Linked DNA regions of Caenorhabditis elegans. The protein of the gene in region 1 interacts with the protein of each later gene in a pairwise test. Each region holds a gene or a part of one and is shown in the gene's direction. Other genes may lie near its edges. The genes, in order: lag-2 and lin-12.

What was found.
Region 2: the proteins of lag-2 (region 1) and lin-12 interact in a two-hybrid assay, tested with the Caenorhabditis elegans proteins (one study listed by BioGRID).

The regions. Positions count from the first base shown.
Region 1 is NC_003283.11:3,186,478-3,190,872, forward strand, and holds lag-2 (Protein lag-2), read left to right. Parts: upstream 1-1,865; 5' UTR 1,866-1,872; coding exon 1,873-2,377; intron 2,378-2,614; coding exon 2,615-2,833; intron 2,834-2,879; coding exon 2,880-3,364; 3' UTR 3,365-3,638; downstream 3,639-4,395. UniProt on the Caenorhabditis elegans protein: Probable ligand for lin-12/Notch and glp-1/Notch receptors and involved in the mediation of Notch signaling.
Region 2 is NC_003281.10:9,068,397-9,073,450, reverse strand, and holds the start of lin-12 (lin-12/Notch intracellular domain), read left to right. Parts: upstream 1-1,978; 5' UTR 1,979-2,062; coding exon 2,063-2,211; intron 2,212-3,731; coding exon 3,732-3,850; intron 3,851-5,054. UniProt on the Caenorhabditis elegans protein: Essential signaling protein which has a major role in many developmental processes; involved in cell fate decisions that require cell-cell interactions. Probable membrane-bound receptor for putative ligands lag-2, apx-1, dsl-1 and osm-11.

The DNA.
Region 1 (4,395 bases):
CCAGACAAAAATCTCCTAATACCCCTCTTCATGCCTTTGTTCTTCCGGTTTGGCGGTCTGAAAAAGAGCACCCCTCCCGGCGGGGGGCTCTCGGTATCTGTTCCGCAAAAACCGTCATATGGAGGGCTATCGGGAGACGGGAAGAGTTGGAAATACGGGAAATGGTGATGAATAGGTAGATCAATCGATTCCGGAACAAATAATTTGAGTTGAGCACGCGTGCTCCACATGTGCTCAGCCGCTTAGGTGTGAGTGAAGATCCTTGGATTTCAAGGCCATCAGCCATTTCCCCTGTCCAGCTAGAGCAGTCCTAAACGGAATTTTTTGCATTCTTTTGCTTCTTTACAATTTCAAATGTTCACTCTAACTAATTCAAAAATCTTTCTTTTTTACGAGCTCTCCTTGCTCGCCGTTGTATTCCATTCATACCTTTAAGACCACCCGAGTGTACGCATATTTAACCAGGCACCCTAAAAACATGAATAGTCTGTGGTGGAGGTAGACAGTGTGTTTTCTAAGAATGTCTCCGTAATTTGAAATATATTTTAGAGTCACCTGAAATTCATTTTTCAAGCAATATTTCTTACCATATCTTTGGGGATAATTTTAAAAGTGGAGTGAAGTCGTTTAGGGACACGCTTTTAAGTTTTAGGAAATGGTTTTTTTTTAATTCATAATTTAAAAAAATCTATAAAAATTGTTACATTTTTTATGATTTTCTCAATTTTGTTGAATGTTTGAATTTTTTTTTTGAGATGTATTGTTTGAATTGGAGCTTTTTTGTGAGTTTTTTTTTAATTTTGCAATTAAATAAAAAGTAGCTAAATTAGTTTTCGAATTCCCGCTCAAATAAATGTCCCAGAATTTACATTTTTGAGTTTTCCGGCTAAATTTTTGCCGTTTTTTGAATATGATTTGTAATATTTGGTCTGAACCATGGTTTTTCCAATTTTCAGAATCTTTCTCGCAAAAAATCTCCGTATCCCGCAAAATAATTGTTGAAGCGTCAAAAATTGGCCTAAAAGTCGATAAATTAACATTGATTTCGCTTTTTTTTTAGGAAAAAAGTCTAAAAGTATTTTTTAAACTATACAAAATCATTAAATTTTGACAAGAAAACGCTTAAATTACAATTTTTTTTATTTTTTAAAAATTTAAAAAAATTTTAAAAAAACATTAAAATTCAGATAAATTGCACAATTTTTATTGCACAAGTCGTTCGTCGTTCGTGTTTTTTTCGCTGTCAAAATGTTGGCAAAGATTGTGAAGTCCCCTGTAGTTTAACACTCTAAGTTACTCCAAAGACTTCTACCTGCCTACCTGCCTGCCTATCTATAACCTAGTGCCTATCACCTACTCGCTGCATAGTTTGATGTACCTATATAACAGTTCATAAATGAATTTTGTCAAAATTCCACTCTCAAGTATTCTTACACGTACTTATTTTGTACAAATCCTTGTCAGTCGCTGCAAGAACATACACATCGAAGAGGCGCAATCGAAACAACAGGTGTTCGCCCGTTGATCGTCTCCCCGCCCCGCCTGTTGGGCGGGACGGGTGTCGGTCACCACCACCACATCATATTGTTGGACACACTTTGCACATCCGGTTCACACCCGATTACCGCATCGGGGTCTTGATCTGGGGCGGCTATTGGATCTTTTGTTTATGTAGATTTTTTTCTCGCCGTTATGATTTTGGATTATTTTTTCTCTTATCTTGCAGTCGACTTGTAATCTTTGCCTGATTGCTAGCTAGCCAAAACTTTCACTTGTTCTTTTTTTTCCTCTAAGTATTTTCCCGAACTTATAGTCGACCTTGAGCTTTGCTAGAAGCCAACAACACTTTTCAAATTTGCCTTTTTTCAGAAAATGATCGCTTACTTCCTCTTACTCCTCACCTGCCTCCCAGTCCTCCAAGCCCGAGTAGAAGTCCATCAAGAGTTCATCTCCTCGAAGCGAGTCTCCGTCCGCTTCGAAATTGTCACAGAGTCCCACTCGCCGAATCGTCCAGTCACATTTGACCTCTTCCCCCGCGGCCCCAAAACCAACATCATCCTTCTCGACACGTTCAACCCGGTCTTCAACTTTTCCATTCAACTTGTGCAGCCGTTCACTGGTCAGCCGCTCGGTGATCGGATCTATCGAAAAGTTCAGTTTTCGGGCACCAACCAGCCGTGGATCAACGACACGTTCACGACGACATCTGGAATTTCGTTGAGCGTGGCGACCGAGGTCACATGTGCTCGCAACTATTTCGGGAATCGATGCGAAAACTTTTGTGATGCACACTTGGCGAAGGCCGCGAGGAAAAGATGCGACGCCATGGGACGTCTCCGCTGTGACATCGGATGGATGGGACCACATTGTGGACAAGGTGAGCTTTAACTTCAGTGTGTGTTTACGTGGTATCAGGCTGTCCCATCAGGGTTTGATCTACAAAAAATGCGGGAATTTTTTGGCTCAAAAAATGTGACGTCAGCGAGTTCTTAACTGGGTCTCAACTCCCGCATTTTTTTTGTAGATCTAGGTAGATCAAACCGAAATGGGACACTCTGGCACCACGTGTGTGTCTCAAAACTTCCTATAGATTTTTTCAAGTGTTTTATTTCAGCCGTTGACCCCCGCAAGTGCTCATGCGAGAACGACGGAATCTGCGTCTCGTCGATGATTCATCCAAGTCAGCCAAATCAAACATCGAGCAATGAACAGTTGATCTGCGAATGCACCAACGGCTTCACCGGCACTCGTTGCGAAATTTTCGGCTTCAATCAGTTCCAGCTGACCGCGCCCCGACCAGATGCTTGCAGTGTCAAAGACGCCTGCTTGAATGGTTAGTTGTTTTGTTAGAGTCTAGACATGAGAATTTGTTTTTTCAGGCGCCAAATGCTTCCCAAACGGTCCGAAAGTCTTCTGCTCCTGCGCTGTCGGCTTCATCGGTGAATTCTGTGAAATCTCACTCACCACCACCACCCCAACTACCGTGGAGATTACCGTCTCTACCTCGGGATACTCCAGCGCCGTCTACATCACAGTTGCTCTCTTCGTGATCTTCTCCATCATCATCGGATGCTTCAAGTACAAGTTCAAGCCGATGAGACAGCAGGCCTTGGCTCGTGGACAGGTACCAGAGCCCTACAAGATGCCTGAGACAAAGTCGATGCTGATCGATCCGGAAGCTTCAGAGGCTCAGAAGAAGGTGTTCACCATCGAGGGCAGTGTGCAGAAGATTGATGAGGAAGTGAGGTATACCAGTGCTCCAAGGAAGTATGAATCGAATAATGAGTATGCCGTTATTCAAAAGTCTACTCCACCGCCACCATCTTTAAGTCCACCGTCTATTCCAGCCTGTCACTATGTCTAGATTCTTCCTTTATCCAAAAAATGTGTGCTTCTTCCACGAGTAAAAATTTTCACCGTTTTTTTCTCAGTTTCTCTCTCTTATCTCATTTTCTTTAACTGTTTCCCTTCTGATGTTACGTGTAATTTCCGATCTCCTACATTCCGTCCCATCTCCCCACCTCCTCCAGCATCCCGCGTTCGTTTTTCATTTCATTGTATTCTGAAATGTTTGTTGTAATTTATACTTTTATACTTTTTGTTTTCTGTTTTCTGAAAAAAAATTGCTGATCCAAATCTTGAAAATCTGGTCCACACCTGTCTGACAGGTGCAGTGTGAAAAGCGCAACCAAAATGATACGAAAAAATTTTCCATCAAAAAATTGGCAAAAAGAATTCAAGTTTTGCAGGTGGCAGATTTGTGGTTGGAACGGATCACATCTGTCAATTTTTTTTTTTAATCATTTAGAAAAAAATATATTGTAGAAAAAAGGTTCAAGTATTTGAACTTATTATCCTTCTCCCCTTCTATCCCGCCGCCAAATTGTCAAACACTTTCTAATCCTGTTTGCACAGGTGAGGTAGGTTTTTGGCTTTTTGTATCCAGAATTATATACACACATATACATATAAGGAAAATTTTAGTATAGACGTGTTTTTTGAGCAAAAATTGAGCAGTAGTGCTTAAGATCTGGATTGTAAAAAAAATTAGCATAATATAACTAATCTCTAATACGTTAGGTAAGTACTTGAAATGTAGAAAGTGGATGGGAACCACATTAAGACACAGTAGTATTACGGGAACATTAAACTCTAAAAATGCGTATTACACAACATAAATGACGCGCAAAATATCTCGTAACGAAAACTACAGTAACTCTTTAAATGACTACTGTAGAGCTGGTGTAACAAAATTATTTTTGAACGATAAAAAAACGATTAAAATCGTATTATTCTTCAAAGGCGCACCTCATTTTTAATTTAAAAAAATTTAACCGTATTTTTCAGTTATATATCGCAAAATTTCGCCGTTAAGAGTACTTTTAAATTGGAAAA
Region 2 (5,054 bases), on another chromosome or scaffold:
TTTTCCCATTATTTTTAGATGCATGATCAATCAGTAAAAAATCAACTAAAACACAAAATAATCATGAATGGTTGAGATAGAAGGACACAGATGATGATGCACTTGTGCAAATAAAAGTAGGAGAACAAGGTAGCCCCATTCACAATATAACGGAAATTTGAATTTTCTTCAGCAACATTTTTTTCATTTTCATAAGATTTCCTATTATCTTTTTTGTGGTAATTTTAAGATTTGACTATTTTAAAACAAAATACCACCAAAGCTGATAATTAATAACGGCCTTCTAAAAAACCAGGTTTTTATAGAGCTATTGTTAATGCCATTTTTAAATGTTTTCTTAAATGTTACACTCATTTATTAACAATATTGTTATTTTTGAAACCTTTCCTTGGCGGGTTCCCATGCCAATAAATCAAGTCAAGAGGTCTTGAGACTAATCCGTCGACGACAGTTCAAAGTTGCCGGTTGATTGTCACGTCACATGTATATGACACCACAGTAACAGACACCTGTGCTCCTGTTGGCTCATCCATCATTTCCGTGTTTTGGGAAAATAGTAGTTAATTGGTAGCAACAACTATGCGTGAATTTTTGCAACAAATTTGGTTCAGATAGCAATTAATTGTCGAGAATAAGGTTATATTTAATTGTGTGAAACAGTTAAAAAAATAATCAAAAAATGATCAAATCTGTTTGAATTCCCGCCAAAAACAAACGCCCACTTTTGAACCAATTAGCGACTTCGGAATTTCCATACTTAATCTGATTGGTTGAAGAATGGGCAGAGCGAATTGCTGATTGGCCATGCAGTTCTCGTTTTGGAGGTAATTCAAATAGAGAGATTAGAAAACACCTTGGAAAAAGCGTGTTCAATATTTTGATTTGTTTTTTTTTCTAATTCTTACTCGATGTGTTTAGTATTTTCAAGCTCTTTCAGCTTTTGAACAGGAAAAGCTATGAAAAATCTCTTCCGCCTATAAAATGGCTAAAAATCATTTATACAATCTTACAGTTGTTCCTAAATGGATAAAACCAAGATATTACTTTTTGAACAAAGCTTAGAAATTTTTTGCAAGTATTGATGTATAAAACTAAAAACTATAAAGTATCCGAATAAACAGAAATAAACAGAAATAAACAGAAATAAAACTCTAAAACTGACACACAAAGACCCAAAAGCCGCAAATCACCATACGTTCCCAGCAGTTCGTTTTCCTCATCTTGATCATTCTTCCTTCCGTTCCCACTCTCTTCTCTTCCACCTCCTCCTACTTCTACTTCATCCAACCATCTGACATCGTCGTTTCATTTTAAAATCATCTTCTCCTCCTTTTCTTTCTCGATGAAAAAAAAGTCTACTTGGTGGCCGCACCGCGACCGCAACAAGTTGGGCGGAGCCATCTGTCTCTCTCTCTTTTGTGTTCATCCTACCCCCACCCCTTCGCCCTCTCTCGTCCTTTTTACTGGGTGAAGACATAACAATAGCCACCCATTTTTTGATTGGCATTTATTTATCCTTAATTAATGATAATGCAAAAGCTACCAGGTTTGGGTTTTATTAGGTTTCGTTTATTGGTAATAATATATTCCTACAGCTCTCACGAAATATTTAAAATGTTTCGAGCCAAGTATTATAGTTTTAAGAATTGATCCTGTTTCCTTCTATTTTGCCCTTGTTTGTTAGTTGACGATGACTGTATTCCTCTTTTAGTATTGCAACTCACTACTTTACTTTGAAAGGTAATATCTCCGCTCATTTTGATGATATCAAAAACTGATTTTCTGCACAATGGAAAAAATATTTTGTCAGCTGACAATTATTATTTAGAACAAATGACAACTGAGATATAAGCTGTCAACACTAAATAACAGGGGTGCAATATTAGTACGGTCCGATCCTTTGCATTTCTATACCGTTTTACTGTCGTCAACTTTCAAACAACGAATTCACTAAATTAAATAATTCAAAACCATTTTCAGAACCTACATGATCCATATCTAAAAGCTAATTTCCTGTCTCTGTCCGCCCTATTGCTCAACAGACTTTGCTCAATTTCAAAAAATGCGGATCCCTACGATTTGTTTTTTATTTCTTCTTATCTCGTTATCAAAATCGCTTCATATTGGCTCATGTCTTGGCTTAATATGTGGAAGAAATGGTCACTGCCATGCTGGACCTGTCAATGGAACTCAAACTTCTTATTGGTGCAGGTATGTGAAGATTTTGCTTAACAATACTTAAACATTTTTTCAAATTTTAATTCAACGTAAAATAAATAATACAAATCTACACATTTTGAAAACTAATCTTAAAAATACGCAATAAATTGGGGGTAAGGAATATTCCTAGGAATTATGGGATTTCCTTTACAAAATTGTCAACTGACCAAATTTTTGTTATTTCTCTTGCTACCGTTTTGTAGTTACCGTATTTCCTCTATTATTCTTTTATTCAAGACTATTAGAGGAAATACGGCAATTCTTTTTATATCTTTGAAATTAACCGAGTTATAACTTTACAAAGTTAAGTAGCTAGGTGCAATACTAGTAAAAGAAGTACTGTAAATTATAACAAAACATTGTTTGTACCAGTAGACTATTCTTCCATAATCCATGCCCTTTTCAAACAATAATTACGTAATCCGTCTTGATTTATAGCGGCATGTGCTCTCCGTTGAGCAGCTAGCTCCTGATAAGATAGGTGATATGGTTCAAGTAGAGACACGTGTCACTTGAACAACACACCATTAATTTATAGTTGATGTTAATTAATAGGAGGACATTGTTCGCACGGGTTCCCACCATTTACGAAACTTGCGCAACAAGAGAAATGAGCGAGTAATGAGAGAAAAAACCCCACAGAGGAGACACCTGCGTCGTCCCTCGCTGTAGAAAAAACTTTCAATTTTTTTGGGAAAAAGTGAGGGAAAATATTGTAAAAACAATACTTTCAGGGTGTTATGGGAAAGTTGGAAAAAGTCGGGTTTTGGATAAATCAACTTCAGAAAAGCAATTCTCAGCCATTTTTTTCCTGCCAATTCTCGTCTCAAAGTCGAAGAAAAACCAGGCAATTAACCCGCTGAGATTCTCATTAAAATGCGAAAGAGAAGCAGCTTTTCCCCCTCCTGGTCTCGCACCGCCGCCAAAAAATCACCCAAATCGGTAGTTTATTGCCATGGGAAAACCGAAAAATACGGGAAATTGAGGGGAGAATTCTTCTTAATGACAAAAAAATACTGGTCTTCCACATTTTTCTTATCAAACAAAAAAGAATGGGGTAGGATTTATGACCAAGTTCCCAAAAGAAATGACCAATGGGGGGTTACTGTAAGATTACTGTAGCTGGTTTTGAACTCCCTATCAGATGTATTATCTGTCAAAGTTTTTCCCGAAAATTTAAATAGAAGTATAGAAAAATGTTTGCACTTTCTGAAAATTGCTTTACTTTCAATTGGCAACTTCGGAAAACTGCAACGAATGCCACTTTTACTCGGCATTTTGAGACTTTGAATGAGAAAAAGAATAGTCTTCAAAATTGCTTATCTTATCACAAATGAGGACTCAGTTGCCACCTCACAATTTTACAGCCGTGTTCCCAGTTTTGTCGGCAAAACATACTGTCGAGTGAGCCTACCATCAGTTGTCATAAAACCATAAAACAATAGGATTACGGTGCCTTTCGGCTGCACGACGTCTTTAATCTTTAACCCTAACCCTTCCCAATGTTTCAGATGCGATGAAGGATTTGGTGGTGAATATTGTGAACAACAGTGTGATGTTTCAAAATGTGGAGCCGATGAGAAATGTGTTTTTGACAAAGATTATCGGATGGAGACCTGTGTCTGTAAAGGTAAGATAATGTAATTTCGAGCTGAATAACTTATACACAACACTTCCCATTGCATCTCATTTTCCTGCAAAACCAATGAGCCAGTAGTGGTCACTTTTTTGCCCAATTCCCATAGGGACCTAAACACCCATCACTCATTTTTTTTAGCCCTCCATGGTGGCGGTGTTGCGAATGAAATGTTTTTTTGGCCCAAAATTCCAAAACTAGGGTCAGCTGCGCGCGCCCTTTTGTCGGTCATCTTTTTGACCACACCATCCATCATAAGCACATGCCTGGTGGAATTGTGGCAAACAACTGACAAAGTTGGGGGTGAATAATAATTTGAAAGTGAATAGGTGGATTTGAAAATTCAATGGAAGTTAAGAAACTAGGAATTGTATCATTTTTAAGACTAAACGAAATATTCGAAGATTAAAAAATAAGAATTTACTTACTCATTGTTAAAGCTATCACAGGTATAATAGCAATAGGCCTATAGGCAACGCGTATACAGGTCTAAATGTCTGCTTCACGCTGACTTGCCGGCCTACCGTCTAATTTTTTAAATGTTAGCTTGAACTCTGTAGTTTGCTGTAGATTGATGTTGAAAATTCAACAAAAATTGAAGACATTAGAAGATTGGAAGTTTGTGGCTACATGTGTAATTTATGCGAAACAGACGTAGGCTGCCTTGTAGGTAGCCAGGCAGGCATTTCCTCATATTTCGAAAGCTTACGAAAACTATGCTTTAAACTTTATGCGCTTACCATTCCCAACTTTCAAAAATTTTACTAATCGTTTTCCGTTAAACCATTTATGAGTATTGCTCCAAACTTCATCAATCTGTAGTTAGTAGATATTTAACAAAGTTACGGCAACCAAACACCTCAATATTTCATCATGACTCGTTTGTATCGAGGACAAATTGAAGCGCGGCCAATCTTTTTCCATTTCTCTTCAGCTCATTTGTCTTGTTGGCGGCGTTAAAAGTGACCGCGTAAGGTGCCTGATAGATAGCTCCTAGGTCATCTGCCCCTCCTAGCCTCTCTGTTTCATGCGCGCTTCTCTATTGTCGATGCGCTTCTTTTTGGCGCGATTTATGTCTGATGTTCGGTATGTGTGAAGAGGGCGGTGAATTGGGCGACGACCCGATGGCGCCTCGTGTGTGTTGCCAATTCTTGGGAAAAAGTGGGATAAATGACCTAGAAATGATGAGCAGATGATG